Rhinolophus ferrumequinum: one gene and its partners. The protein of the gene in region 2 interacts with the protein of the main gene of each other region in a pairwise test. Links are inferred from orthologs where the notes say so. Each region holds a gene or a part of one and is shown on either strand. Other genes may lie near its edges.

Evidence for each region.
Region 1: the proteins of NUP62 (region 2) and C9H1orf216 interact in binary tests that used the Homo sapiens proteins (3 or more experiments, as listed by UniProt). The two-hybrid records come from large-scale screens. The link is inferred for Rhinolophus ferrumequinum from reciprocal best matches to the Homo sapiens genes NUP62 and C1orf216.
Region 3: the proteins of NUP62 (region 2) and KANSL1 interact in binary tests that used the Homo sapiens proteins (3 or more experiments, as listed by UniProt). The two-hybrid records come from large-scale screens. The link is inferred for Rhinolophus ferrumequinum from reciprocal best matches to the Homo sapiens genes NUP62 and KANSL1.
Region 4: the proteins of NUP62 (region 2) and KRT20 interact in binary tests that used the Homo sapiens proteins (3 or more experiments, as listed by UniProt). The two-hybrid records come from large-scale screens. The link is inferred for Rhinolophus ferrumequinum from reciprocal best matches to the Homo sapiens genes NUP62 and KRT20.

The regions. Positions count from the first base shown.
Region 1 is NC_046292.1:24,782,355-24,789,621, forward strand, and holds C9H1orf216 (UPF0500 protein C1orf216 homolog), read right to left. Parts: upstream 2,497-7,267; 5' UTR 2,432-2,496; coding exon 2,341-2,431; intron 1,747-2,340; coding exon 1,055-1,746; 3' UTR 583-1,054; downstream 1-582.
Region 2 is NC_046298.1:44,951,151-44,958,849, forward strand, and holds the start of NUP62 (nuclear pore glycoprotein p62), read right to left. Parts: upstream 3,309-7,699; 5' UTR 3,174-3,308; exon of another isoform or gene 3,112-3,173; intron 1-3,111. Other genes in the region: ATF5 (cyclic AMP-dependent transcription factor ATF-5), read left to right, coding at 4,709-4,886, 5,658-6,319. UniProt on the Homo sapiens protein: Essential component of the nuclear pore complex. The N-terminal is probably involved in nucleocytoplasmic transport.
Region 3 is NC_046304.1:41,155,561-41,163,686, forward strand, and holds the start of KANSL1 (KAT8 regulatory NSL complex subunit 1), read right to left. Parts: upstream 3,460-8,126; 5' UTR 3,295-3,459; intron 2,662-3,294; exon of another isoform or gene 2,527-2,661; 5' UTR 2,388-2,526; intron 1-2,387. UniProt on the Homo sapiens protein: Non-catalytic component of the NSL histone acetyltransferase complex, a multiprotein complex that mediates histone H4 acetylation at 'Lys-5'- and 'Lys-8' (H4K5ac and H4K8ac) at transcription start sites and promotes transcription initiation.
Region 4 is NC_046304.1:37,140,333-37,148,602, reverse strand, and holds the start of KRT20 (keratin, type I cytoskeletal 20), read left to right. Parts: upstream 1-5,211; 5' UTR 5,212-5,339; coding exon 5,340-5,681; intron 5,682-7,585; coding exon 7,586-7,668; intron 7,669-8,270. UniProt on the Homo sapiens protein: Plays a significant role in maintaining keratin filament organization in intestinal epithelia. When phosphorylated, plays a role in the secretion of mucin in the small intestine.

The DNA of each region.
Region 1 (7,267 bases), on a different chromosome or scaffold from region 2:
CACATGTATCCCTACCCATAGGCCTGCACACACAAGGGTTCCCTCACATACACCCACCACAAGCCTGCACACTCAAGCTCGCTCATAGGCACACACATCTTTTGCATATACAGTTGGCCCTTGAACAACACAGGGTTTAGTGCTGCTGACCCCTGACACAGTCAAAAATCCGTGTATAACTTTTGACTCCCCTCAAATTTAACTACTAAATAGCCTATTGACCGGAAGCCTTACTGATAACACAAAGTCGATTAACACACATTTTGTATGTTATATGCACCATATACTTACTATTTTCCTTACTGTGTTTCCCCAAAAATAAGACTTAACCAGACCATCAGCTCTAATGCGTCTTTTGAAGCAAAAATTAATATAAGACCCGGTATTATATTATATTAATTATATTATAATATTATATTATATTATTATATTATAAAGATCCGGTCTTATATTATAGTAAAATAAGATCAGGTCTTATATTGATTTTTGCTCCAAAAGATGCATTAGAGCTGATTGTCTGGCTAGGTCTTAGCATTTTCGGGGAAACACAGTACTATTAAGTAAGCTAGAGAAGAAAAAATGCTATTCAGAAAATCATAAGAGAAAATACACTTACAGAGCTATACATATTTATTGGAAAAAATCCACATATACTCATAAGCGGGACTATGCAGTTCAAACCTGTGTTATTCAAGGGTCAATTGTACATCCTCACTCATGCATACTTGTATACACACACTTCTGGGTGCCTGTCCACACTTGTCTATGCATATACAAGTTTACTCCCTCTTATATACATGCTACACATACACAGATGGACACACTCCTACATAGGCCTGCACATTAAGTTAGCTCGTGTGTACACACCGCACATGCAAGCTGGTGCCCAGGTGCGGATTCATACATGCCTGCACATATCCACTACATGTTAGCACATACTACTCACTTATCCTTAGCTGCACTCATACCAGCTAATAATTATGTACTTGCGCACAACCACATTCATGCCTGCAAGTATTTACAGATACCCCTTGCACCCCGTGGAGGAACGCTCTTAGCCCTGGTCCTGGGGTCTGGATGGTGCTGCCCTCTGTTGGAGACAGCGGATAAGCTCCTTCCGGTTATCTAGGATGGTATCGAAGCTCTCCTGCAGGCGGGCCTGCTGGTCAATCAACTGGTGCTGCAGACCTCGGATCCACTGGAGCAGAGCCAGGCGACGGTACATCACCAAGTGCATGTGGTGCTTCTCCTTCTCCTGCTCTTTGTAGCGTTCTTGAGCCTGCAGCTTCTGCATAGCCTGGGCCACCGAGGGCAGAAAGGGATCTGAAGGGCCAGGGCCTGGAGGGGTCCCACAGGCAGGCTCAGGGCTGCTGCTGGGGCTGTCAATGCTCAGGGAGCTGCTGGCATAGCCATTGTCCTCCAGAGGGGAGCTGACTGTGCCAGCACCACCCATCTTCTCAGGCTCAGCTCTGGGGATCTCTGCCCCTTCTGGTGGGCTTCGGACCTCCCCCTCAGGAAGTCCAGGGGCCTGGAAGGACTGGTTATCAGAGGGCAACGCGGATTTCTTCATCAGAATGGGCTCCACTTGGCCTGGCATCCCACTCCAATTCTCATTGGCATCCTTGGCACTTGCCATGAAGTTGGAGTTGCTATCTGGTTGGAACTCAGGCTGACATACTCCAGAAGGTGGGCCCCCCAGGAACTGGCCCCCCTCAGCCACCCCTGGCTGGAAGGCGAACATTTGGTCTGTAGAGGGGAAGCAGAAGAATGAGTCAGAGCAGGACAGGGTGGGATACCTGAGTCCAGGCAACCTAGCTGCTGGGACAAGGCAGCAAGCGGGAGCCTGGCTGCTCCTTCTCAGTTCCTTTCTCTGGTCTCTGCTAACATCTCCCTTCGTGGTTTTCCTCCTCCCTCTCTGACTGTTACTTCTCGGTCTCCTGCAGAGGGTTTTCCCTCAGCCCTCGAGGCATGTTGTCTTCTCATTCTATGTACTTCTCCCCCAGGTGACCTCATCCTCTGCTGTAGCTTCAACAACCATCATGTGCTGTTGACTCTCAGATCTGTCTCCAGCCCAGATCCAACTGATACCCAACTCTGTAACCAACCACTCCTCAAATTCTACACGTCCAAACCAGCTCACCATCTTCAGTGTCCTTAGCAAAATGACCTCACTGTGCATTCAGTCACTCCAACCAGAAACTTAAAAGCATCCTGGACTCACTCTGCTTTCTTCTGCCATCTCATTGGCCACCAAACACTGACAATTCTTCCTCTTAAAAACCTCTGTGTTTATGTACATACATCTCCCCTCACTTTCACTTGGTTCAGGCCATTTCTTACCTGGATTACTGAATGCCACAGCCTTTTCACTGATCTTTCTGCCTGCAGTTAAAAATGAAAATTTGAGGGGCCAGCCCGGTGGCTGAGGCATTTGGAGCTCCGTGCTCCTAACGCCGAAGGCTGCTGGTTCGATTCCCACATGGGCCAGTGGGCTCTCAACCACAAGGTTGCCAGTTTGATTCCTCGACTCCCACAAGGGATGGTGTGCTCCGCCCCCTGCAACTAAGATTGAACACAGCACCTTGAGCTGAGCTGCCGCTGAGCTCCAGGATGGTTCAGTCGGTTGGAGCGCGTCCTCTCAACCACAAGGTTGCTGGTTGGACTCCCGCAAAGAATGGTGGGCTGCGCCCCCTGCAGCTAATAACAACCTGCAAGGGATGGTGGGCTGTGCCCCCTGAAGCTAACAATGGCAACTGGACCTGGAGCTGAGCTGCGCCCTCCACAACTAAGATTGAAAGGACAACAACTTGACTTGGAAAAAGACCTGGAAGTACACACTGTTCCCCAATAAAGTCCTGTTCCCCTTCCCCAATAAAATCTTTAAAAAAAAAAAAAAAAGAAAGAAAGAAAGAAAGAAAAAAAGCTTTATTACAAAAAAATGAAAATTTGATTGGTCACAGCTCCCACTGCCTTCCCTAAACTTCTGCTAAATCTCTCCACGGCCTGCCTGGCTGTTCTTCATCCGGCCCCTGCTCACCCTTCCAGACTTGCCTCTAGATGCTCTGCCCCTCCCACCGCACAAATTGCTCAGAGGTCTCAGAATGCACCGTCATTCTCCTCACATGGGTCCTTTAGCCTGCCATACCTTTCCTCTCCCCAGCTCTCTAAGATCCTCCCTTCTCCACCCAGCAAATTCCTTTTTGTACTTCAAAACTCAGCTCTCATATCCCCCGTCTCTGAAGCCATCCTGAAATTCTCCTCACTGCCCCAATATACATAAACACTGCCTCCCTTTGGGTCCCCACAGCCTTGGGTACACGCTGTCTTATTCATGTTTTTTTCTCGTCCCTGGCACATAGTTATGGTCAGTAAATGTCTATTCATTTTTTTTTTAAGTCTCTTGTAAAAGCAGTTCATAAACCTGGCTGCCTGACTAGACGTGGAACTCCTCTATTTCCCACCGTATTTCTAGGAGACAGCATGGAACTTGGCATTAAGCTAGTGTCAGTCCACACTTGCTGGGTGAGTAAATGGGGGTGAGAGAGCGGGATATCTATACTCATGGATGGGGGCCAACAGTAGGAGCAGGCCGCTACTGCTGATTGCCCAGGGCTAGAAGAGCTAGGTTCAGTTCCCTCTTCTGCCCAAGGAGGACGCCCACTCACCCACCCACACACGCACAGACAAGCCTCTCTTGGACCTTGTCCCCTTCCCTCCATGCCTACCATCTTGTGTCCCTCCAGCTTGCTCCATCCTGAGGCCCTGGAGGGAGGGCATACTATGCTCTTCTTTCCTCCCCAACAACCAGCTTTACCAAAATTAGTATTTGAATTGACACGAGGTTTCTGCTGACCATCTACTACTAGGATTAGAAAAATGTGGGATCAGTAAGAGTGAGAGGATAGTGGAAGTGGCAGGGACCCTTCCCACATCCAGTAGTGGGCAGAAGTCCTGGGGGAATGATGTAGGGACCGTCCCTTCATAACCTACCAACACCCTCCTTGCTAAACAAGGTGCCAGTAGATCTTCTCCGCCCAAATGTTTTCTTTTTCCTAAACTTGGGCGGGGCCACGAAGGAGGCTGGGATGCAGTGAGGGTGGTGCTACGAATAGCGGGGTTCTCAGAGAGGGTAAAATGGAAACCCAGACACCCGGGGTCAGGCTTCTCTCCGAGCTAATCCGCAGTCTGCCGGGGTTGAGGGGTGGGTGGGTATGGGGAAGGGTGATTCTGTAAAAACAGGGGGAAGCGGCCTCCCTTCCTGCCTAGCCTAGTGGAAGAGGAAGACTACCCCCGCAGACAAAAGATAGAGACCATCCTTTCCTAATCTCTCCGTTCGGGGCAGCTGGGCCGAGGCTGCGGTTTCCCTCCTCGTCCCCGAACCTCAGTGTCTGGACTCACCGCCTGGAGGCGTCTGCCCAGCGCGGCTGGCTCTGGTTCCGCGGGACCCGCGACGGGAACTCGTCCCTCGGGGCTGAGGGGTCCCTCGGCCTGGGCGTCACGCGGGACCCGGGCGTGGGGTGCGGGGTTCCGGAGCGGTGCACCCAGCCCCAGTTGCGGACTGCGGAGCCAGCCGGGCGGCGTCAGCGCTCTGGGCGGGGCCGCCCGGCCCACGTGGGCCGGTTCGGTTTCCCGCGGAGCCGCGCGCGGAGGCCGGAGCGCGGGAGCCGCCTCCCCTCCTTCGCCTTCCGCAGCCTTGACCGAGGCCTTGCAGGTACAGTTTTATTTCCTAACTGCCTTCACTGGGCCTCTCCGATCGGCTTGCCTCACTGTGGATACACTGACATTTTCAAAATGAAAATCTGATCATGTCACCACCCTCCTGCCAAAAACCTGTTGCAAGGCAGATCCTTAAGGCAGCAGCCCCAGAGGTCTGATCATCCTGCCCCGTCTGCCTCTCCGGCTTCAGCCTTTGCGCTCCATCTCTGCAACCCGGCTTGACGCTTCTTTCTGCCTGCCAGGCGGCTTTTACAAACACTGTTCCCTCTGCCTAACATTCTCTCCCCGCTCTCATATTTCAGATCTCTTCTCAGATCAACCTTCTCTGACCCCCTTTTATATTATCCCTGGGCATTTTGTTCCTTTTCTTCATAGTCTCTGTCACAATTGGAAATTCTGTATTCATGTTATGCTTAGTTATTAAAGCCACTTATGAAAGCTACGTTTTTAAGAGAGGAAAGAAAATCTACTCTGGGTCAGGCATGGGGCTACTGTCTTGCACCCAGGCCCTGGTGGCTTCCCACAGGGCGATGAGTGCCTCTCTGGTGCCAGTGCAGTGAGCTTTTCTCAGTTTCCACTTACTGAAGCCTGATCCCCTCACTTTCTTCCTCCTTGGGGGAACTGAGGGTTTGGGGGCCCAGTTTGCAAGCAAAGCAAACAGTAATTGCTGACTTTAATGATCAACACCAAAAAGCAATGGCTGGTGTTTGGGAACCTAAGACTTCTTAAATTAAGTTCTTAACTTAGGCAACCTCAGAAAGAAGACTGGGACAAATTTAGCTTTCAAGGCACGGTGAGCTTCCAGAAGGTCCCTTCCACATCCCCATTTTACTGAGCAAACTACACAATTGGCTACACCTTCCTCACCTACCCCATTTCAAAATTAAACTAAACTAATATGGAGTCATCTTTGAACCATAATACATTTAAAATACCTTGTCTTTCCCTCATCCCTCTCTTTTGCTGCTTTTTTGTTTTGTTTTTGTTTGTTTGTTTCAATGAGGAAGAATTCAACTCTGTGATCTCCATGATAGGGCATCCTCTTCCAGTTTCAACTTGATTCCAACTCACCATTCTGCAACTTAGAGACTAAATGGCACATTAAATCACACCAATAAATCCTATGTACAAAAATAAGGAGAGTGGAAGAAGAAAAAAACTTTTTGTTTTATGATTATGACAACTCTTATTTTAAGAGAGAAAAGGAAATAAAAAAGGGAGAAAGCAAAAGTATCTCAAACTTTGGACACTCCCCCAGCTACAAATATACAGGTGGAGCCCTCAGCCCTATTTCTACATCAGGTTCCAAGACCTAACTAGTCTTCCCTTTTCCTTTAACCACTGCAAGTTCCCCTTGCCTTCAGCCGGAGTTTGCTTCCTTCTGAGGTGATCCAAACCCTCAATCCTAAAGGCTCTGAGCTTCAGTGGTCTGGAGTTATGCAAATCTTCCCATGCCACACAGCCATAATGTCATCTGATTGTTTGGTGGGCCCAGAACAGCTCCACCCCACCTCTCCTTTGGCTCTGTCTCTCCCAGCTCTAACCACGTGGGTTAAATGGGAGCCTGGTGAGTCCAGGGATAGAACTCCCCACTCCGGGTGAGTCAGTCAGAGCCCTTCTCTGGGACTTTCTGAAATAAAATTAAAGGAAGACAAAGCAGGGAAGATGTAAGCTGTAACATTCACATTCTCTGGCACATAGAAGTCAGTTTTTAGTAGGAGAAAATGATGTTGACACATAGAAGTAGAGACGAAAGACAGAAGTCCTCATGAGGTTCCAGTCCCTGTTTCCTGAGGCCTTTGTATACCTTCCAATAAGGCCCTCATTTTACCAATCCTAACTTGAGTGGAATTTCTTTCACTAGCAATCTAAAGAATGCTGATTAATAGAACACCCTTGGGTCTCACTCATGCATGAACCTCTCAGCCCTCATTAAGTAGTAGCAACTCTATTTCCCCTTGATAGCCTTTATCAGATCAGCCTACACTGTAACCTCCTTTCTTCTGTTCCTCTGATATTATGAGGAGCTTGCAATGCTGTGGAATCATCTTTGTGTTCCCTGGTTAGAAACATTCCTCCCTAGCTGCTAAAACCTCCTGGCCGGCAGAACCAGGATATCAGAGGCAGGAAGTAAACTCTTGGAGAAAGTCATTAGGTACAATCATGGAAGGTATCACACCCATCTCTACCTCTTTATATGTGTTCTGGCTACAAAAGACCAACAATTGTATACTGATTGTTGATTTAATACCTATATTGTACTCGGCATAGCAGAACCCAACCTGGCATAGCCAAGTCATCAATTGTTCATTCCATTTTTCTATAAAGCTAGTTGTTCTAAATAACATAATACCTGATAAGTCCAGTGAATTCCAAGGGCATCAGACTGTAGCCTCTCTTTTCTTAGTGAAGGGAAATATTGTATGGGATACTCTAGCACTGTATAATTAATGCAGTAAGTGCTCAGACAGTGGGCCTGGCCACTCCATAATTTTCAAAGAGCTGGGAGCCTGGAGAATAAAAAACCCCCGGAAGGCAGAGGCGTTCGTGT
Region 2 (7,699 bases):
TAGCCTCTATGATCTGAGGTCACTCCTTGGCATTGAGTCTCAGATTCTCAGTGTCTTGCACCGGTGGCTACTCTCCCTCTCCCTCCACAACCCTCCCTTGCTGTGTTGGGGCCGCTTCCAGATCCAGGACTCCGCTAAACAGGAGCCTGTTGCCAGGTGCACAGGGGTCCCAAGAGAATCCCCCCACCCCCCTCCCCATCAAAGAGCCAGGGTGATGCAACCTGCCTGCAATTTCCACCTCACTCCCTAAGCGTGGTCTCTCCGCACTGAAAAAGAGTCCCTAGCAGCCCCACCCACGCTTCCAGCCCCAGCTCGAGTTGGAAAGGAAAGGCTGGGTTACTCTGCGAAGGTGGGGGAGGCTGAGGCGTTTGAGTCCTGGAGGGGCCACAGGTCCGGGTCAGGGGTGGGCATGAGCGAGGGCTCAGGCTCACAGGCAGCCACTGATGACCCACCGCCCATAAATTAGAATATGCCAGGAAGGGCTAGAGAGCTGAGTCTGGAGAACTGGCCCCCACCCAGCAGGTCTGAGTCAAGCTGCTTGGGTGGGGCAGTTGGCATCAGAGTTGAACTGGGTGGAATAGGACAGCTAGAGAGAGAAGGCGGTACGGGGGCTGGGACAGGGAACCAGGATCCCTGCCCCACGGCCTTCTCAGTCGGCATACACCTCACACAGCCGCAGCACGACTCCCATACTGAGCAAGCTCCTTTCTGGTTATTAAAAAATACCCTACCTGACCGTCCCCTCAAAAACCGATAGTCCCAGTCTCTGAGACAAAACCAAACTGAGGGATATTCCATAGAATATCTGACCAGCACTCCTCAAAACTGTCAAGATCATAAAAGACAAGGAAAGTCAGAGAAACGACTGCAGATCAGGAGACACAATGACAAATGTCATATGGCAACCTGGACAGGATCCTGGAACAAAAAAGGACTATAGGGAACAACCAGTGAAATCAGAATAAAGTTGAAGTTTAGTTAATAGACGTGTACAGATGAGATGTTGGTTTTTCAGCTATGACAAGTGTATCACAGTAACGTAAGATGAAAACAATGGAAAAAATTAGGTGAGGAGTATATGGAAACTGTACACTATCTTTTTTGCAATTTTTCTGTAAACCTAGAATTATTCCCAAATAGTTTATTTAAAAAAAAACAACTCTACCTACTTCCCACACATAACCTAGAAGGTCTTCTCAGAAAAACTGTGTGTGTGTGTGTGCGCACGCGCGCGCCTGTGCCATCCGACTACCAGCAGTCTGTCCAATCGTCTACCCTAACCCTGCCTGGTCTTGCTCAAATCTCTATACTGACAAGTAGGAAGAGATCGGTCCTGAAGTTCCACTTAAAAGGTGGAAGACCAATCACAGTTTTAAAGCACTAACTGCTTAGCAGTGGAGATAAAATATATCCCACCTCAGTAACCACCACCATCACCACCCCTTATGTGTATAGCACCTCGTGTGTGCCAGGCACTAGTCTAAGCGCTTGACCTGGATTAACTCATTTAATCCTCATAACAGCCCTAAAAAGCAGGTACCATTAATGGCCTCTTCTTTCTAAGGGAAACTGCCAGTACCACAAGGCTAGTAAGTGCGGTGCGTCAGGGTTTGAACCTAAATAACGGGGCTCCAGAATCTATGTCTTAACCACTACTCTGTGCTGCCTAGGTAATAATGGAGCCTCTACAGACTCGAGGAAATATAGGGCAAGTGCTCAAATACTGGCAGAGAGGACGGTAAGTGCCCTAAGGCAAAGCGCTCAGATGCCAAGGACTTCCTGCATGCAACCAGGGGGAAGGCAGAAGCCCGCTTCTCTTTACTGCCCACGTAACTCTCAAGATCAGGGTTCCCCCACCTTCTCTGGATCTTGCTTCAGTCTCATAACTGCCACAGAAGTGATGAAGGTTGAACTCCAGGGTAATGTCTTGACGTGGATGGATGCAGGGTGGGAAAGACAGGTTTCTGCAGCAGAGAAAAGACCCACACCCATTTGGGCTGGCAGAGGACCCAGCGCACAGGGAGGAGATGGCCAGGAAGCTCGCTCTCTTTTAGTAAATGGAAGTGGAAGTCCCCCCATTCTTGGCAGGGTTGGGAGACTGATCCACTGGGGGGCGTCTCAGGAAGTCAGGGAGAGGGGCAGGGCCAGAAGAATGAAACAACTGGCCTGAAAGGAATGCTGCGGCCAAGGATTGAGGGAAGGTGGGCAGGGGAGGGAGAAAAGGATGGAGTGGGGGCGATGATGCCAGATTCTCTGCACCCCTACACCAGGATGGGGCTGAGCGGCCATTACTTGGAATGGGGGAGGGTGGGGATGGCTGGAAATTGACACCTTGGAGGAACGGAGACAAAAGAACGACCTGTTAGCTGGTACTGGATGGTCAAGTGTCTGAGGCTTTTGCGGGGAGTGCGTGTGTGGGGGTGTGAGACTGGGGCCCCCGAGTTCCTATTAATAATAAAATAGGTTGAACAGACACGTATAAGCGGGTCTTTGTGCTTAGGTCTTCACAGGCATCGACTTCCTTAATTCTCACAAATAACCCCATTAGGTAGAGTTGGTTATTCTAATATTATAGATAGTTCCCTATCTATGAGGCTAGAGAAGTTATTTGCCCAAGACCAGCATGGCAGGTATGTGATTAGAATGGAGCTTAGGCTGGGACTCGCGGGACTCTAACCCACAAAAAGCGTTCTCAGCGTGAGCAGGCAGTTGGGGAAAGCAGAGATGAGCGTGTGGCCGGCCGGAAATTCATGAAGCAGGGGAAAGGAAATGAGAAATTCACCAGTGAGGGTCTCAGGGAGGAGGAAATCAGGCCTAGGATCGAGAGAGCAGGAGGGCCAGAGCCAGCAGAAGGGGGATGAACCGTAGAGCCACCGGGAAGGGAGGGCCAAACCCCAGGGGTCGAAAGGAGGAGGGGGCCGGATGCCCAAGAGGAGGGGGCCAGGCCCGCCTCCGGGTTGGACCGCGCGGAGGCGGGGCGCGGAAGGATCCGGGCGGTCCCGTGCTGCGCCGCCCGAGATATATCTGTTCCCACTCCCCGGGGCCACCACATTCCCCATCCTCAGATCACGATCTCTCCTCACACTACGGCGAAGCCGCCTTTGCCCGCGAAGCCCCGGCCATGGCTCTGTAGCTGCGAACCCTCCGTGCCCCCCGCCCGTCTCCGCGCTCACCGCGCCTGCGCTCTTCGCTCCTGCCTTCTTTATTCAGCCGAGGCCGCCGCTGCCTCTCCTTTCCACAGCCATGGAGTGAGTAACCGTTCACCCCTCCCTCTCCAACCGCCTTTCCCGCCGTTTCGAAGCTCGCGGCCCTCACCACCAGGCTTGGAGGTTGGGGAGACGAAAGTGAGGGATCACGGTCGCGCAGGCGCAGAAGAGGGAAAACCAGCATGGGCGCGCGGCCGAGCATGCGTACTCGGCCCGATGGTGGGGGAGGGTGTCTTTTTCTTGCGTTGGCGTTTATAGATGGCCTGCGTACGGTTGCGCCTGCGCACCAGCCCTCAGAGAGTTTTTTTTTTCCTTCTTCCGGAACGAGTCTGTCTTCGCGCTGTTGCTCATGCGCGTCAGCCCACCAGAGCCCATATTGTGCGAAGGGCTGGCAGTAGGCGGCTGCACATGCGCACTGACGCCCCCCCGCGTAGACGTGAGAACAATGGGACCGTTCTGGTGGTGGAGCTGCGCCAAATTTGGCCCTCGGCGAGAGAGCCAAGTGTGGAAGGTTGGCGTAGAGAGCTGTTCTCTGCTGGCCACCTCCACCTTCCCTGGTCCACGTTGCTTAGTCGCCTGCTCCACATCGCTTAGGCGCGCAGCATAGCGTCTCTCCCTTTCATTCAGGCATCTGCTGGGGCGGGTGCTAGTTTACACTGACTGGGTAGAAGGCAGAGCGTAAAGACAAGGGGGTGGAGCTAGGATCTCAGCCTTGACGAACGATAAGGCTAGGGAGAGTATTATGCGAAGGGGCGGGGCTAAGCGAACCGTTAGATGAGGGGTGGGGTTTCGATTGGAGAAATAATAGGGGCCTGCGGGGGAGGGGTGCAGCTAAGATAGTGGGGCGGGGCTGGGGGGCGGAATAACGGTAGTCCCTGCAGGATTTGAATAGATAACATTGGTGAAGGGGTGGGGCAGGGCGAATTCCCCTGGGAACTGATTTGAGATGGGACCTAGGGAGGGGGTGGGGCCTAAAGGAAGTATTTTAGAGAAAGGAGTGTGGCTGGAAGAAAATTCCCCTGGGACTGAGTTTTTTTTACTGAAGGAATATTATGGGGTGGGTGGGAAGGGCTTAAGATAATTCCCTTGGGAAACCATTATGTTTCTGTATTGGAGGATTGGGTCGGGAATTTTGAAGAAAATAAAGTCGGGCCTAAAGAGAATCCCCTTGGGAGTGGGTGGGGCTCAGATTTGGGGAAAGGGCAGATTTAGAATTCTGAGGGCGAGGCATAGTCCCAACCCAGTTGGAAGGGAAAGGGAGGGGTCCCCCCCCTCAGCGCCCCCTGCCCCCCGGGATGTGGGAGTAGAACTTGGTTTCCCTGCGACTTTGGCGGTGAGTGAGGTTCGCCTATGACCCTGCCCACTTTTGTCTCACACGTGTAGGTCCTCCACTTTCACCTTGGTGCCTGTCTTCGGCCAACTGAGCGACCTCCAGAGCCTCCTTTCACTTGTTGGTGCAGCTTCCTTCATTGCCATTGGTTCCCAGCGCCTGTGCTGCAGCCATGTCACTCCTGGCCACCCTGGGGCTGGAGCTGGACAGGGCCCTGCTCCCAGCTAGCGGGCTGAGCTGGCTCCTAGACTATGGGAAACTCCCCCTGGCCCCTGCCCCCCTGGGCCCCTATGAGGTCCTTGGGGGAGCCCTGGAGGGCGGGCTTCCAGGGGGGGGAGAGCCCCTGGCAGGTAAGGACAGGTGAAGAATGGAGGTGGTGTGGAGCTGTGGTGTGGGGCACAAGACAGAAGGAGGGAGAATTTATTCATTCATACATTCATTTGATAAATAATTATTAAGCACCTGTAATATGCCAGGCACTATTTTAGGTGCCGGGGATATAGCTGGGAACAAGACTGACATCCCTGCCCTCCTGGAGCTCACACTCTAGCTACAAAATGACATTGTGGACCTAGTTTAAAGTCCATAGCCAGGAAACCCTCTCCAAGTAGGTAATGTTTTGGCTGAAGCCTAAAGGATGGGAAGGAATGAGCTATGAAAAGACCCAAGGGAAGAACTGTTTAGGTGGAGAAAATAGCATATGCAGAAGCCCTGAGACGGATTATTTTATTCCTTTAGTGTGTCCCCAATGCTTGTCATATAGTGGGTTTTCAATAATTAATTAAAGGTGAAACAGGGTGTATTGTGTATGTGTGATCGAGTTTGTGTTTTAAGAAGAAACTAGAAAGTAAATCAAATCACAGATGTGGGTTACTCAGTAAAGAGAATGTTGGAATGGTTGAAGAAATGGTTGGTTGACTGTTTTGTTTTGGTCATTGGTTGGTTGACTAGTTCATTGATTGGTCGGTGAAAAGGGTTGATTGGTTGGTTACTGAATCAGATAGTTGATTGGTTGGCTGGTCCACTGGTTGTTGGTTGGTTGACTGGTTAGTTGGTTGGTTGGTTAGTTGACTGGTTAGACGTTTGACTGGTTCATTGGTTGTCTTCCTCCAATCCTCCAGGTGATGGCTTCTCTGATTGGATGACTGAACGGGTGGACTTTACAGCCCTTCTCCCTCTGGAGCCCCCCTTACCCTCAGGTGCCCTTCCCCCACCTTCCCCACCCTCCCCTGACCTGGAAGCCATGGCCTCGCTCCTCAAGAAGGAGCTGGAGCAGATGGAAGACTTCTTCCTTGATGCCCCACTCCTCCCACCATCCTCCCCACCACCACAGCCACCACCACAAGCGGCACCCTCCCTCCCTGTCCCCCTACCCCCCACCTTTGACCTCCACCAGCCCCCTGCCCTGGACACCCTAGACTTGCTGGCCATCTACTGCCGCAGTGAGGCTGGGCAGGGGGATTCGGGTTTGGCTCCCATGCCCCCACCACAGCAGCGCCCTCCTCTACCTCAAACCTCTCGCCCAGCCCCCTACCCCAGTCCTGCCATCACTCGAGGGGACCGCAAGCAAAAGAAGAGAGACCAGAACAAGTCAGCTGCTTTGAGGTACAGACAGAGGAAGCGGGCAGAGGGTGAGGCCCTGGAGGGCGAGTGTCAGGGGCTGGAGGCACGGAACCGGGAGCTGAGGGAGAGGGCTGAGTCTGTGGAGCGGGAGATCCAATATGTCAAGGACCTGCTCATCGAAGTGTACAAGGCTCGAAGCCAGAGGACCCGCAAGAGCTAGGAGACAGGCAGGGCTTCGGGCGGTAGGGGGCACTGGTCTCCGGCTCTGGCTCACTTCTGTTTCTGGGGCTGAGATGGGAGGGTCCCCCCATCATCCCTCTGCCTCTAGCTTCTTTCCAAAGCCCCCCCTTCTCTCTCTCTCTCCTTTTATCCTTGTCTCCTTTCTTGTCCATTTCTTGTCCATGTTGCTCCCCTTCTCCTCAGAATCATGGATCATTTGGCCTTAGTCAACACCTACACTTTTCAAGTGACAGCTGAGAGACTGAGGCCCCCGGGAGTTCAGGGAGCAGGGGAGAGCTTGGAAACCAGCTCTCGAACGGGGCTGTGAGGCCAGAAAGCTGTGCAGAATGACTGTAAATGAGCACAGGAGAGCCGTCTAGGGAATAAGTCAGAGAGGGTTTTAAGAATGGCACCCATATAATAACATAAGCAGAACAAGCAAGCGAGCTGACCTTGGGAAACTACATTTGGGCAGGGAGCCAAAAGGTAGGCAAGTTTGAAGAGCTGGTGGCTCTGGAGGCAGATGGGGAGCTGGGCAGAGTGGGTGTGGCCATAGTTGGTGAGTGGGTGTTCACTTTAGCTCTGGGAGGAAATCAGTGTTTTGTGAAGGTGTTGGGGCAGGGGCTGCATCTAGGTGAGAGAGGGCGGGAGCGATCCTTTTGGGGGTTGTGGTGGAAATAAAATAAATAACTTCTGGTCTGAGCGTCTTGTCTTTGAGAGAAGAAGTTGGGAGAGGGCAGTTGTAAGCCAAAGACAATGACAATAGAAATAACAGATAGTACTTATGGTCAAGCACACAACACTTGGTACACGGCCCAGGTCACGATGGGACTGATTGAACTGGTAATGATGCAAGACCCACTTTTAGATTCAGACCCTTAATTACTTACATAGATAGCAAAACAAAGGATAGCTAAAGGTGCCAGCGCCCCATGGCCCTCATCACACACCAAAACGGGTGACACGCAAACAAAACGGGCTGGACAGCTGCAACAAGAGTTGTGGGGTACCCCATGTGGAGGAGCCCCTTGTTGATGAAAGCCTCCCAGGGGTATTTGGGAGGTAAGTGGGAGATGGCCTGGTAGCCATAGTGGGGATGGTCCCCTACATCTATCTGTTGAGGGCTCAACTATGTGGCAGGCACTATTTTTTTTTTTTTTAAGGAGGGCACAACTCAGTGGCACGTGTGGGGATCGAACTGGCAACCTTGGTGTTATTAGCACCACGATCTAACCAACTGATGCCAGACAGTATTTTAAGCAGTTGACATTATTTCAGTTAATGCAAAAGGAAGGTACTGTTAGGTTTTGGATGAAGAACCATTTTTAAAGTGAGCAACTCACTGACATTAGTACTTTCGTAGTGTTGTGCAGCCACCACC
Region 3 (8,126 bases), on a different chromosome or scaffold from region 2:
CTGAGGAGTTTCTGTTTGGAGTTACTTTTTCTTTGTTACTTAGGTTTCCTTTGGTACTTTGGTTTATGAAAAGGGTGAGTATTGGCACTGTTTTCTATAAGCATGGAAACAAGTACATATTCAGGCCTGACATTCATGTAATGCCTGACAGAACTGGAGTTCATTCTGAAATGAGATAATCAGAAACAAAGTGGAAGAACTACAAAAAATGAACACTTTGGCTCCAAAGTATACACTTTAATTAGGCTGTCATTTCTTTTTACTTAAAAATGAACAGCTGTAACCTGAAAATACATCTCAGAAACATTTTAAGGATATTTACAACTGAAAAAGAGAATAAAGTTCTCTTTCTCCCTTTTTATTTCCCATCCTGCAAATTCAATGTTATCCTCTTCCCCGAAAAAAGTGCCTTTTCCCCGCCCTGTCCTAATCAAACACTATAAGTTTTTCTAAGTAGTAAAAGGAGGAGGAAAATGTTAGCAAATAAAAAATCTGCTCAGATTCAGAAGAGATCTTCCACTGATCAAAGAACTGGTAGGAAACATAAAATTAAGGCAGCCACATAACTACATTCTTAAGTAGTTAACAGGTGGTAGGTAACTCATATAGTAGGAAGCTCTGTACTCCTGCCATCCCAGAGGTCTTTGGTACAACTTCAGGGGTTATTGTGGAACTATAGTTGACCTTTGAACAATGAGTTTGAACTGTGCGGATTTTTTTCAATACAGTAAACGCATTTCTCTTCCTTAAGATTTTCTTAATAAATTTTCTTCTCTAGCTTACTTTATTCTAAGAATACAGTATAACATACTCTAAGAATACATGTATCATAACATGTGATAACCAACTGTTTATGTTATTGGTTGAGCTTCCGGTCAACAGTAAGCTATTAGAAGTTAAGTTTTGGGGGAGTCAAAAGTTATTCCTTATTTTTGACTGTGTGTGTGTGGGGGCGGGGGGTCGGCACCCCTGATCCCTGGGGTTGTTCAACAGTCAACCACATAACACCCCAAGTTCAGAGATTTACTGGTAAAATCTTAAACATCATATATATCTTAAGAAGGAGGCTCTATGTACCTAATACATTAGTTAAAACCAGGGTAATGGTAAAACAAAATTCAATATATGGATCCTAATTTCCTTGGGTTTCTGGGGACCTAGGGCCTGCTGATATCCCCTTGCCTGCTTCCTAAAGATAACAGAGGTCACCAGGTCCTGGCGCTAAACACTTGGTACCAAAGAGAAACACTCTTATATAAGGTTTTCCAATTCCTAAGTGTTCAGGACTTCTGGGTGGGTTCCCCATACAACCCCTCCAACTCTACACGGAGAATGGCTGGTAAACTATCACTTTGACTTCTTTTACACATAATGTAAGCAACAACAACAGCTGGAATATAAACTAAGAAGAGAACTCAGTCTACATTTACCTAAAGATTTCCAACAGTCCAAATATTTAGGTTACATTATTCTGATTTATTCGTTGCATTAAATTGGCATTCCACAGGGCAGATGACCACACAACGGTCTTAAATACACTAATATCTAGCTCCAAAGGAAGGCAACCTGAGCCACCTGGCGAAACTGGTGAGGGCTTCCATCACCCCTCATCTTTCTCTGTCCATCCTTCCTCTCATTTTCCTCCCTACAAATGTCTTAAGCTTTGCCCTTTACTTAGTACAAACGAAGTGTCCTTTGGCCATCTATGTACAAGAAATTGGAAGGAGTGAAGGGACTTGAGAACCACATTAATAAGAGCTTTTTCATCTAAAGATCATCAGCCCACATTGCCCAACAGAGGTTTATCCTGTGAAATGAAACTTGGCACAAAGCGCTACCTGTGCAGAAAAAGTGTTAATTCCTATGCAAATGACTAGGAAGCAGCAGGACTCTCCAGTGGAGTCGTACACGCAAACCAACAGGCCTCAGAAAATTCTACATGAAGTTTCAGAGTAAACAAATGGTTAATGACACATCACTTGTAATTCATGAATCAGCTACAGATTTGCAAGTGGGACACACCCTACTACCTATGACTACCTGTTGAAAATGGACCTGGATGGCTGAAGTGCCAATCCATCCTACTGAGATAGGATAATTTTACAGCTATGTGGGTTGTCATAATTTAAAGTTAGAAAATTAACACATCATTATAATGAAAGTTAACTTGAGAACTTCATTCATATTTTAACACCAACAATTAAGAACAGTAGCAATACAAAGTAAAGAGTAACCAACGAGTCCTAGGAAGCAACCATAAGAGTAGTTTTTGAGGGGAAAGGAGGGTCAGGTAATAGGTTGAAGAATTGCAAATTCGAGAATATTCTCAATTCTAAAGAAAAATAAAATGAGGCCTTTAATTGAAAAAAAAAAATAACACATCTTACCTTAGGAGGCATCCACATAGCATTCATAGTGTCAGGAATAGTTCAGACAATTCTCAGAAATGAGCAAGCAGGGAGTCTTAGTAATCCCTCAGTCACCAAGTATGAGCAGGTAGGAAATTTTTTTGTTTCAAGAAGGTATCTGAAAGAGAGGACTTTCATTTAGACTAAAAAATAATCAAGAATAAGCAAATAGTTTGAGTATCTGGACAGAGATTTGAAGTACTATTTGCTTCACCATCCTAAAAAGATGTACAAAACACAGTCCCCTTTAGAAAGAGGCAAATGTATGTATGTGTATATCCATATCATGTAGAAATATAGTTTACATAAAAAGTGAATTAACTGTGTAATACATGTTTTCTATAATATAAAATTGCTTATCAAATAGTTAGAAAACCAAAATCCCAGGTAGAAAAATGATTCTTCAGGGTACTTCATAAACACTACTGAAAAGTGATTTAACGGACCATCTAAAAAAGACCCTTGTCACATTTAATTTTATTTAATAAAAACCTCTCTGATCATTCTCACTGTCCTAAATTTTATTAAGTTTCAGGACCTATCTACATAAAAAATAAAATCCATTCTTGACTGAAGTGCTACAAGCAAATAAAAGAGCCTTCTTCTCTAGAGATCGTTAAAAGCAGACCAAACAACTTAATTTTGAGGAAGGAGAGAGGCAAGTTTGCCTGGAGGCAGGAGGATGGATTAAATGACCTCTCCTAGGAACCTTGTTCAAGTCCTAGGCCTGAATGAAAATTCCAGCTTAACCAGTTACTGCTTCGCTTAAAATGGAGGCTTGCCCGAGTAGGGACAAGAATAACAGCACCCACCTCTGTAAAATAAATTTCAAAAAATCAAAAATTACAATACCCTCATTTTGGAAAAAAAAATTTTAAATAAAAACCTCTGGAGTAGATTTGTTCCTGCTATGCGTTTGTCACTTGGGCTTCGAAGACTTGGCATCACTTTCCTTACCGCTCATCGGATTTTTTTTGGGGGGGGACGGGGGAGTTTGACTCTTGACCCAAGTCTCAGGAGGATTTAATAGACCCTCCATGATCCCCACCGCAAAAGACATGGGAAGAAGAGAAAGGGGAGAGAGCCCGAGTTCTCACCCCTCCCCCCACCTTGGACCCTAGTCCCAAACCTACACCCCCCGCCAGCTTCCCGCAGTGGGGCGACTCCTTCTGTCCCATCCCCATTGTCAGGGAGGGGGCGAATGGGGAAGTGGGCTCCGGGCAGGGGAGCCTGCGGCCGTTGCCCCGGCTCGCTTCAGGAGGGGCGGCCCGCGGGATGCAGCTTCCCTTCCTCTCCGCGTCGGTCCGTCCCACCTCGGCTCGGCCTGGCGCCCCGGGCTCTGCTCGGCGCCCCCGGCCCCAGGCCCAGCCCCGGTCCGCCCCCGGGCACCAGGCCCCCAGCCCCTCGGCCGGCAGCCCGCGGCCCAGGCCTGCGAGTGGGCGCGGGGCGGGGGTCCCTGTGCCTCACACACGCGTCCCCGCTCCCCCAAGTCCAGCCGCTTCCAGGGCCCTCGGCGGCGCCCGCTCCCCGGGCCCGCCGGCCCCCCGCCTCCCGCCTGGGCCACCCCCTCAAACTCCCGCGGATAGGACCACATCCCCTTTCCCACCATCACCCCTAACGACTCGTGCCCCCTACCCCCGCGGCACCAGTGCCAACGGCTGCTCCCCCGGCCCCGGACCTACCTGCACGGCTCAACCAAGCCTAGAAGTGGAGGCGGGGAATCTTCTGCCCTCCTCTGTCTCTCATTGGTCCTTCCGGGGCACATCGTGAGCGCCATTGGCTAATGGCGGGTGTCCGTCAGAGCGGTGGGGCGGGACAGGAGGGGAGAGGGATGCTGGTGCCTCGGCGTCTCTGTCTCTGTATCTCGCTGTCTCTGTCTTGGCTCTTGGAAATGAGAGACATTTGGACAAGGCGACTGGAAGGGGGCCCGCGGTGGGAAAGATAGAAATAGGAATCCTGGCAGAGCTTCCCACCAGTCAGCCACTCCGAACCCCCTACCTAAGTCCCCTTTGGATCCTCTTCTCCATCACCCCCAACCCCGGCCCCTCACCCCTGTAGGTTCTTCATCCAGGAAGCGACGTGATGAAAACTCGAGGCCGGAAGGCCATAGGAGAGATTTTATATATGAATATAAAATATACACATACATATATGTATAAAGTCAACCAGATATAAGGTCACAAGAGCCTGGAGAGGAAAGGGCACACATCTCACAAACGGGAAGGACTTGAGATATAACCAATATAATAAGGAATCAAAATGACTCAAAGTGCTTTCCACCTGGGCTGATAACTGAGTGCCTAGGGGACCAGGTGGAAGCAAGACTTACATTTCATTGTACATCTTTTTGTATCTTTTGATTTTTGTGCCATTTACAAAGATTCCAGGGTTTTGTTTTGTTTTGTTTAAGTAATTTATTTAAATTTTAAAATAAATCTAAGGTCAGAAAACCAGGGGGACAGACAAGATGGTCATCCAGGCAAAGTGGGACAGCATGCAAATTTTGGGAGAAATCTTAGTTTTTAATATGTTCAGTTCCAAACAGTAGTGGTAAAACTAAGTGGAGGTGTCCCAGAGGCAACTGGAAATACGGAATTTGGGAGAGGGTGGACAATCTGGACTAGGGAAGGTTTGGAGTTCTCTACCTAAATATGTTGATTGATGATATGCTGAAGGATAAACTACCCATAGAAGTGTAAAAAGGCACCCACAGGATAATGAAAAGAACAGAAAGAGGGGCAGTGAGGTAAGAAAAACAGAATATTGAAGAGGCATGAAAGTTATGGGGGGAAGTGTCTCTGGAAAAATAGAATAATAAAACTATGACAGCCTCACCGGTCTTGAGATTCATTTCTGGGACTCTCTAAAGGCTCATTCAATAAGAATGAAAGTCAAAATATCCATAAAGCAGAGTTCTTAACTTTTTCACACCACGGACCCTTTGGCAGTCTGGTGAAACATATGGACCTCTTCTCAGAATACTTTTTATGTGTAATCAACATACAGAGGAATTTAAAGGAAAGCAATGACATTAAAATACAATTTTCAAAATATTTTGAAAGGTGTGATATAGTAATATCTGGGCTTTATATTAATGTATTAAATAATAAGATCTAATGGCAGACCTAATGACCACCATAATTTTCAGGTAGTAAATGAGCATAAATAATATTTCAAGATCGCTGTGACAGCTGTCATATTATTAGGAAAATATTTGTGATTTCTACCGGTGACAAAATCACAGACACTGCTAATACGACTTGGTTTGTCGTCTCCATTCATAACTGAAGGAAATGCTAGTTTTCTGTTAACATTTTAGCAAAAATAAAGGCACATCACTTTCCCTGATCTAAATTCATGGATTTCTTAATCTGTGGACTGCAGGTTAAGAAACCCCACCATAAAGAAAGCATCCTTCCCACCCTTCACACACCCATGCCAGGCTTGTGGCCCTGTCCTTCACCCCTTATCTCCGTCTCTCTCTTTCCGTTTTCCACTTGCTCCAAACACTCTCTGGTTCCTAGTGCTACCTGCAGATTTCTGACGTCCCTGTGACACAAAGAACAAGGAATTGTGAGTAAAGATTGGAAGAACGATATATACATTTTGTCTTTCTTCAAAGAAAAAAGAGAAAGCTATGGGGTATATTGCAGATCTGAGATGGGGAAAAGAAACCCAGATGGCGTATCATTCATTCCCAAGAGGAAAAAGAAATTATAAAAAGAAAACATCTTTATTAGTTAAGAAAGAATCTTTTCTGAGTTTATTAATTTTGCTTAAATATGCCCTAGAAAACATCTTTAATCCAGCTCCTTATTTCATGTATCTGTAAAATGGAGCAAAATATAGTACCCACCTCCTAGGGTTATTGTAAGGATTAAATTAGTTAATATATATAATGGATTTAAAACAGTGCCTAATACAAGGTCAACAGTTTTTAACTATCATTATTATTATATTGACATCTTGTATTCCAGAGCATTCCATAAAAATTTCCGGTATGATTATTTGTACGGATGACATATACGATTGCACATTAAGAGTGATAAAGTGGTTAACCCAGAACATTTTTTCATTTAAATGCTTCAAAATTAGAATACTCCACTTCTTCCAGTTACATTTTCATTCCTCTAGGGGGGGTTGGAAGAACATCAGTGCCTTTTTAAAGAGACTAAACTTGGGGGGGGAACAATTTGCTACTCCTATTACAAAGGGCTAATTTCTATGATACTGTCTATAAAGACCTCTTACAAATCAATAAATAAATACCAGCCATCTTCATCCTTACCCTGCTGGTGGGAGTGTAAACTGGCACAGCCATTTTAGAAAAAGACTCTGATAAAATCTAATAAAATTGAAGCTATGTATACTGTGTCCCAGCAGTCACAGTATTATATGTATTATAAAGAAATGCAGAATTGTAAATGTCAGGATCACTGTACAAGAATATTCATAGCAGCTTTGTTCCTCAGCACCCCACACTGGAAACCTCCCAAATGTTTATCAAGCATAAAATGGTTAAATTGTGGTATATTCAGACAACGAAAATTAATAAACTATGGTTATGTTCAACAATATGAATAAATATTCACAAAGGTAATATTAAACACACACAAAAAAGCAAGATACAAAAAAATATACAAAGTATGATTCCATTTATATAAAGTTTAAAAGCAGGCAAAACTGAACTATATTGCATAGGGATGCATAGATAGGTGGTATAATTATAAAGAAAAGGAAGGAAATGAACACAATAATGAAAGTCAGGCTGGCTAACGGGGGCAGAGGGAGTGTTGTTTGATTGAGTGTGGAGGGTGGAGGTTTTTCTTAGGAACAGGCAGTTCCAGAGTTCCTAAGGCAATCCAGAATTCCTTTTCCTTTCAGTGTTCTACTTTTTGATCAGGTGATGGGTACACAGGTATTTGCTCTATAACTGTTTAGCAAAACATACAAAAACTTTTGTATATTTTTCTGTATGGATACTTCACAATGAAAATATTATTTTTTAGAAAAATAGCATCTCTCTGGAAAAATGGACAAAAGATACTACAGAAATTTTACGAGAAAGAACATAGGAATGGCTGGTAAATGAATGAAAAGATGCTCAACTCACTAAAAGACAAGCATTTAAATCTCCACTGAGATACTGTTTTCATCTAACAGGTCATGACGATAACGTTTGCTAACACATTGTGTTGGCAATGGAGAGGGGAAATAGCCTTTTTTTGGGGGGGATATATTAGTTGTTCCAATATCTACAGAGGGCAACTAGGCAATAGCCATCAAAATTATAACTGCAAATACCCTTTTATTTCAGCAATTCCATCTCTAGAAATGTATTCATTCATTCCCTAAATATTTATTGAGCAACAACAATGTGGCAGGCACTACTTTATGCTCTAGAATTTATCTTACTGATATATTCTCTAAAAAGTCTGGAAATATGGCGCTGTTTATTTCGTTATTATCGTAGAGTTGCTCATGAGGAAGAAGCCTTGAATCTCAACCAGGGAATATAGTTAAGATTATATCAGAACACGTTAAATAAAATGAAAAAAGTATAATAAATATTTTCCCTACTTCCAAAGTTTGAGATAGTCTATATATACATGGTTTGTTTGTTTTTTCAACAAACATTGTTTCTAATAGCAAAAGATGAAGAAAATGAAACAAATACACTTCATTAGCAGACTGGTTAAGTAAATTATGATTTGGCTC
Region 4 (8,270 bases), on a different chromosome or scaffold from region 2:
AAGCTCAGTGTTTGTTATCCTGAAAATGTCTTCATTTTACTCTCATTCTTCAATGCTAATGTCACTGAGTAGGAAAATTCCAGAATGGCAGTTATTTTCCCTCAGCCCATTGAAGATATTGTTCCATTTCCAGTGTCCACTGCTGCTTGGAGGGATCAGTCGCCAGTGCCATCACCACTCCTTTGTTGATTGTCTTTGTTTTCTCTACCTACTTGGAAGAGCTCCTCTTTATTATTTGGTTTTCTGCACTGCTGTGAATAGTTGTGCTTTGTTTTTTATTCATTTTGCCTGGAATTCATTAGGTTCCCTCCATCTGAGAACTTTCTTGAAACAATTCTGAAAATTTTCACTTATCTCATTGAATGTTTTCTTTTCCCCATTGTCCCTTGTCTCCTTCTGACACTCTGATTAGAAATATTTCAACCTCCTTACCCTAACCTTCGTGTGTCTTGAGTCCTGTTTGGCACTTAGCTGCGTTCTGGATAATGTCTTCAGAGCTATCTTTTTATTCAATAATTCTCTCTTTAGCCTAGCTTAATCCATTGTTGGACCCATCCACTGAGCTGTTAATTTGAATTGTATTATTCGTTTCTTCTGGTTTATTTTCTAATTTTCTACGTAAGTTTTATAATGTCTTAGTACTTGCTCCAGTTTGCAAGTTTATCTTTTAGTTACTAAACTACTTTAGTATGTGTATATTATATTCTCCTTCCTATAATTGCACAGCTAACCTCTTTGTGGGTCCAATTCCACTGTTTATTGTCGTGCTCACAATTCCATACAATTTGATCGGTAGAGTTCGTTGAAGTTACATTATTTTAGAGAGGATTTGAGCTTCCTGCTGCCAGATGGCTAAGCACATCACTGATCAGGGACCACTTTAAATTAAATTCTCCACTTAAGGTTTTCAAATGACACACAGACATGGGTAATACAGACAACAAACTGTCAGGCTAGCTGTGGCTACAAATTCAGGATCTTAAAATGTTTTATTACAGAAAATTTCAAACAAATACTAGACTACTTAGAAGAGTATAATAAATCCCCACGTACCCATTTCTCAGTTTCAACAAATAACTCGTGGCCAAACTTCCTTCATCTATACTTCCATCCTCCTTCTCCCTCCCATATTATTTCGAAGCCAATCAAAGACATCATAACAGGTCACTTGCAACTATTTCACTACGTACACTAGTTTTTAAAGCATAGAGGCCCTGATTTTTTCTGATTTAACTTTGTGTTAGGTCAGGTAACTAGAACCACAATGCCTACAAACACCCACAGTTCCTACAGGGAAGACAACCTCTCCCCCCACAAGAGATTACAGATCCTAATACGTATCACGTCTGGGCTGCAATGGCTCATCCATCCAATGAGGAAAAAAAAAGGTTGAAAGTCCTCTGAGAACTACAGCATTTATGATAACTCTCTAAAACACTGGCCATACTTAACATTAATCATTAACGCCCTCAGCGGAGTCTCAGAGGTAAAAATCCACCTTCTATTAGTTATAAGGAAGTTGGGATCTAATAAATATTTATTTACGGATGCATCCATCCAACAGCCTGGAATATCAAGGGTTGTAAAGTCATGATTTATGTATGAACAAGAGTCAACAGGATCTATATCTAGTCATCAGGTATAGTTCAGAGAAATTACCTTCTGTGAAATACTACCCTCATTTCCTGTTGGTCATATTATAAGATATACTGTTTTACCAAAGTATAAAACTCAATGTGATAGAGGAGCTGTCAAATTATCCTGTCCTTACATAAACATGTGGAAGTCTTCACAACAGGAACTTTTCTACTCCAACAAATGAGTAAGTTGGATGACTGAAACCCATAAAATAGTTTACATTTGAAATCTCAAAATCCTACAAGGACTAGCCAAAAATTGGTGGGATAACACAATGACAAAGTTATTTCTCCAAATTTTAAAAATGATTTTAATCATTCTAATGAAATTTTAACTGTTTCGCTTAAATGTAATTGGGTCCAGCCAGAAGGAAGAATGGTGCTAAAGACGAGAACTTCAAAAATTATCATGTTTAATTACTGCACTTATATTCCTTTCTAGTTATAAAGCTAACTCTTCATTTAAATAATGCTTCTACACACCTTGATCATATATGTTAGTGTATGAAACTCTTAGCTGAAACTAAATCACTATAAAACATAATTCAAACAGTACAATTTTCCAGTGACTTTAATCAAACAACCTTCTTGCCCATTAAGCAATAACAAAAAAAAACATGAATTTTACGAATATACATATAAAGAACACAATTCATGTGTTCATAAAAAGTTCTTCCCTACAGATTTTAGCTGTGACATCTATTTGCAAAGTAATTTACAGCTCTTTAATAAATAGTAAGATCTGCTTATGACATGTCCAGTCATTGATGGTGAACACTCAGTGAGTGTTGGCTGACACATACATGTTTGGATAAAAAGATAATATAGAGCTGTCCACACACACACTGTAAATTGCATGAAGTAGATTTAGTTCTCGCAATTTTTACTTTCAGAATATAACTGAAGCAAATTTTAATACAAAGCATTATTTTAAACCATACAGTTTATAAGGGAGAAATAATATAGTCTTACCTTATTTTGGAAGAAGGAAGTTTGCAAAAACAACAAATAAAAAACCTCAAAAGTGAAAAAGCCATTGGTTTTTAGTGGAAGAACCACAACAACAAAAATAGATCACTAAAACAAGTAAGTTCCAAATTCTTCAGAAAGAATGTGCAAGGATTTGGGATATGCTTTTGTTTAGGTTTTTTTTTTATTGATTTTTTTGTTGTTTGCTTACTTGCTTTCATCATATACAACTTCAATTCAATTAAAATATCAGGATGAGAATCAATGAAGTGTTTTCTGTGACTTTTCCAATCCCTTCAATTTAACTTAAGGAAACAATTTAAATGTTTCAGGGAAGGTGTGAATTTTTCGGCCAGGGGAGTTGAATGGGGGGAGCAAATAAATAAATTTCGTTCAGTTCAACAATGTGTTTCCGATCCCCACTGGTGAGAGCACACCCACAGCTCCCAATGTGTCTGGAGGCTGACATACCTGCAGTGGCTCCCAGCCCAACTCGGGAGTCTGGGGGTAGCCCTAAGGCACTGCACACACCTGCTTCCGACACATGGACTTGCTCGACTAGAGCTGTGAATATGAGGACCTGTGAGGAAGATCAGGCTTCTGAGGAAGCTTCTGCCAGTGAAATCCATTGGGGATTCCAGGAGGAAGCAGCTGTAGCTTCAGGATGGGTGGGGCAGGGTCTGTCTCATGGTGGGTGTTTAGGGGACCTTATCCAGGAAGAGAGACTTCTCCATGCACCAGGCCAGGTGCAAAGTTTATGCTATTTATTCTAAGTTTCTAGGGAACAAAACCCAAAGCCAAGCAGTGATTAAGAAATTTCAATAAATTATCTAGTCTTATAACATTAGAATTAGTGGGAGAAAAAAACTTCAAAATCATCTATCCACCACTTACCTAAAGTCACTTAATTCACTTTCTCAAAACTACATCTCCAAATGTATACATGTTTCGTTCTTGTTTTAAATATTCAAGGTGTATGTTTGTACAAAACATTTTAATAGTCATATAAAATGATTTCTAAACAAGGATAAGACTAGAAACAACAACAAAAAATACAACAGAGATTCTGAAGAGTGATTTATTTGTACATATCAACCACTATTCTTACGCAAATCAGAAGCACAACCATCATCTCACACCTGTTAGATTAGCTGTCATCAACAAGACATGAGATGACCAACGCTTGTGAAGATGTGAACACAGGAAACCCTGAGGCACTGCTGGTGGGAATGCAAACTGGTGCAACCACTATGGGAAACAGTGTGAAGGTGCCTCAGAAACTTAAAAATGGAACTACCATATGATCCAGCAATCCCACTTCTGGGTATTTATCCAAAAGAAATGAAATCACCATCTCAAAGAGATACTTGCACCCTCATGTTCATTGCAGCATTATTCACAATAGGCAAGATACAGAAATAATCTAAGTGTGTCCATCAACCGCCAACAGATGAATGGAGATAAAGATATTCTCAGGCATTATAGCTGAGAATATTATATATACAGAGGAAGCCCCAAAAAATGTATACACATTTTAAGAAAGGAAAACTGTAGTACAATTGTAATACTCAATATATACCGACAACAAAAGATGAACACAAGTCACATTTGACTTCTGCGATTACAAGAGGGGCTCAAAGTGGTTACCATCAGCGTCCAGACACTTCTGATTATGGCGAACTACTGCTTGAGCAACGTTGACTAAAGTGTCCACTTGTATACATTTTTTGGCACCCCCAGTTTTTATATATATATATATATATATATATATATATATATATATATATATATATATATATATATAAAATATACCACATATGTATAATGGAATATTATTCACCCATAAAAAAAGAAAGAAATCCTGCCATTTGCAACAACAGGGGTGGACCTAGAGGGCATTAAGCTAAGTGAAATAAGCCAAACAGAAAAAGACAAATACTGCATGGTATCCCTTATATGTAGAATCTCAAAAAGAAGAAGAAGAGAGGGGAGAGAGGGGGCGGAGGAGGAGGAAGAAGTCAAGCTCATGGAAACAAGGAGCAGAAAAGTCACTGCCAGGGCCTGGGAGTGGGTGATACAGGGAGAGGTTGGTAAGAGTACAAACTTTCAGTATGTCTGAGGATCTAATGTAAAAACATGATGACTATAGTTGATAACACTGTATTGTATAATTAAGATTTGCTAAGAGAATAGAACTTAAATGTTTTCACCAAAAAGAAAAAGAGATAAATTATAATAAAATTTTGTAACATTGTTCTCTATTGCCAGTGTGACTTACTATTATGTATCCACATCTGTCATGGAGATTGCAAATATTCTTCATGTGTATTAGGATGAAAAAAATCCGCCAAAACAGGTGCAAGGGCTAAGAGAATACCCTTTCTTGTTGCCTTTTGTTACCTCTGTTTATAAAAATAAATCTCCCCTGAGAAAAGCCTCTACGAAATGCCTCTAGTGGTAATTTCTGGAATGGAATTAAAGAGATTGCTGTACAAAGGCCAAGGAGGCGGGGGACCAAAGTGGACTGTGGTGTCAATCCTAAAGTGAGATGTCAGCAGAGGTGGGGTGTCTTGACTGTGAAGTCTATAAAAGCTCAGTTCCTCTATCACCGAGAGACAGACTCTGCTCCATCTGGGCTGAAGCTGCAGGAGCTCCCTCCTAGAATCCCCAAGGGATTTCACTCAAAGAAGTCTCAGAAGCCTGGGTCCCTCCTTGAAAAGCCCTACAGTCAGCATGAACGAGCATGTGTATAGGAAGAAAGTCTTACAGTACCAGAGGATGGCACCCAGCGTCTATGGGGGAGCTGGAGGCCACGGCACCCGCATCTCGGTCTCCAGTGACATGGTGAACTATGAGAATGACATCGCCAAAGGGAACCTGCTTTTTGGCAATGAGAAGATGGCCATGCAAAACCTGAATGATCGCCTAGCAAGCTACCTGGAGAAGGTGCGGTCCCTGGAGCAGGCCAATGTTACACTTGAAGGGCAGATCAAGAAGTGGTACGAAACCAACGCGCCCAGCATCAGTCGGGACTACAGCGCCTATTACAAACAAATCCAAGAGCTGCAAAATCAGGTGAGGGCTGAGGCCTGGGTTTTCTACTCCTCTGTCTAGCTTCGTGATGTACCAAGAGGGCATACACATTAGGTGGGTCTAAATGGATGCTGTAAAGCAAATTGGGCTGAAATGCTACATCTGTACAAATGGTATAGTCTATCATCTACTCTTAGTGCTGCAGCACCTGACTACATAGTAGGATGACTACAAATCATACTTTTGAAAGTTTTTAAATCTAATTATATAGAAAATATGAAGATTTTATCCTCCCGTCTTACAAACTGTTTTTCTGTCATAGTTTTACCAGATCAGGGCTAAGTGAACAGCAAACATTTTTTCTGAAAGGAGCTAAATTTTTTAAGTGATAATAAATCTTTCTTAGTTTTTCACCTAGTTCCCAACAACTTTTGGAACCCCAGGCAATTTTGAGTTTCCTCCTTTCATTTATGTAAAGGGTGTAAGACGAGTATTCGAATACTGTATCGTACATTCCAATGATGAAGTGAGTCAGGGTGGAAGTGGAGAAGGGTATGGGTCTTTATGTTACCTGGATTTTACAGTGTCCTGCGGAATCATCTGGTCGTCATCACCAAGCAGTGCAGAAACCACTTGTACAGTAATACGATGTTCTATTGCCCCCAGTTCAAATGTATTGCAATCGTATCAGAACCTGTTCCCACATCATCCAAGAAAGGTGCACTTCTCTGTTTTATCAATTGTGTGGAATGAAAGAAGACTTTGCTCCTAATTGAACATTTCAGATACAGCACAGACTATTTGCACTGCTTTAATATTCTTATCTGATCAAAATAAGTGTCGGCCCTTTCGTTTTCCTTTCTATTTTAACATGTGCTTTCCTTTAGAGAAAAGGCTACTTACTTACCAACAAGTCTCTTTTTTCCTGTGTTGTGTTAGACGTCTGGACGATTTGATTCAGACTCTACGGGGCGTTACTTTGGGGTTCCAGGAACTATGTGGATGTAGGAGGCAAAGGTGTTTAAATTGCCCTTTCTGCCAACAGGTCATTCTTCTCAGGCCCGCAAAAAACATACAAAATCAGCCAACCATTCTCCCCTAGCTGTCTCATGGTTCTTGTTTCTGAATCTACTTTGGATCATCCCAAATACACAGGCACAGCCATTTCTTCCCTTTAGCTGGGCAGACTCAGTATTTGAAGGAATGCAGCTTGCTCCAGGACTGGATCTGCTGAAAGAAACATGTCATTATAACATCTTCCACAAGCAGACTTCTGATCCATGTGCATCTTAAAGAATTCACCCACTAGGTCATGGCTTAAGCTCAGGGGCTTATCCTGATAGTCCCAGTGACTACCTCAATTCCCACCACAGATCGAGTGTCCATTCATCAGCCAATAGTTAGCAGACACTAACGAGGTGCTGGGACCACGCCGGGCACTGGGAAATAGGATGGTGAACATGATGTAACTTACGGGAAACAGGCATGGACGAAGGCAACATTTATCCCACACAGAGGGGGAAGTGCTAGCACGGACGGCCGTGTAGGATACTGAGAGCACCAGCAGTTCATCCCGCTGTTTTGAGGAAATCAGTGAAGGTCTGAAGGAATGATAAACTGAGCGGTGGAGGAAGAGTTCACCCAGTGAGAGAAGCTAAGAGGAACATTCTAGGCAGGAACAACATCAAAGGCAAGACACTCGATAAGGTTTGATGGTTCAAGGTGAATTAAATTCTCTTTTTGTGAAAAAAAGAGAAAGCGGACCAGACCCTGGGACTAGAGTTGCATTTTACAAGTCTTGATGTTAAATATCCATATCATTATTCTTCCTGTTTTCATGTGGCAATTATTGAAATAAAAACATCGTCTTTGATTGAATAGTAGTTGTACCTGAGGATCAACTCCTATCCAGTTGAAAATGTCATTCTTTCTCATGTGTTTTCCAGATTAAAGAAGCTCAACGGGAAAGAGCTAAATGTATCCTGCTAATTGATAATGCTAAACTGGCTGCTGAAGACTTCAGACTAAAGTAGGTCCTCTAACGCCATGGCAAAACTTCCTGGGAAGGAATATCTTTTAGTAGTCCTTCATGACATTCAGCTTTCTGTATCACTGTTGGTAAAGGAGCTACCACTAAATATTTCCAGAATCCTAGAAACTATCTGGTCTAGCCCAGCACTCACAGCTGGACTTCTCTCTCCCACAGTCTTAAGATTTGGTCACCCAGCGCATAACTAAACATCTCCAGTAACTACCACTGTTCTCATTGGTTAGCTCTAGTTGCTAGAACATTCTTTTTTAGTAACCTGGCACCTACCTTCTCACATACCAAGCCTAATGCTGCCCTCCAGAATAATAACAAAGCAATTTAAAACGCCCCTTCTTCCTAAGTGCCCTTCTGTTATCTAAAGAGACTCATTTGTCTACCTCAGTGATTCTGCATGTGAGTCACCCATGTTCCTTCAAGTGCAGACAGGTGTCTGACCAAAGTTCCAGGATGACTCTTAATGCTTTCTAGTTTGCCAGTGCTTTGCAATATAGTCTGACCAAGCAAAGAACTAGGACTATGATTAAAGCAGTTCAAATCGTGTTCACTCGCGTAGTCATATCACACTACACAGGATCAGAGTT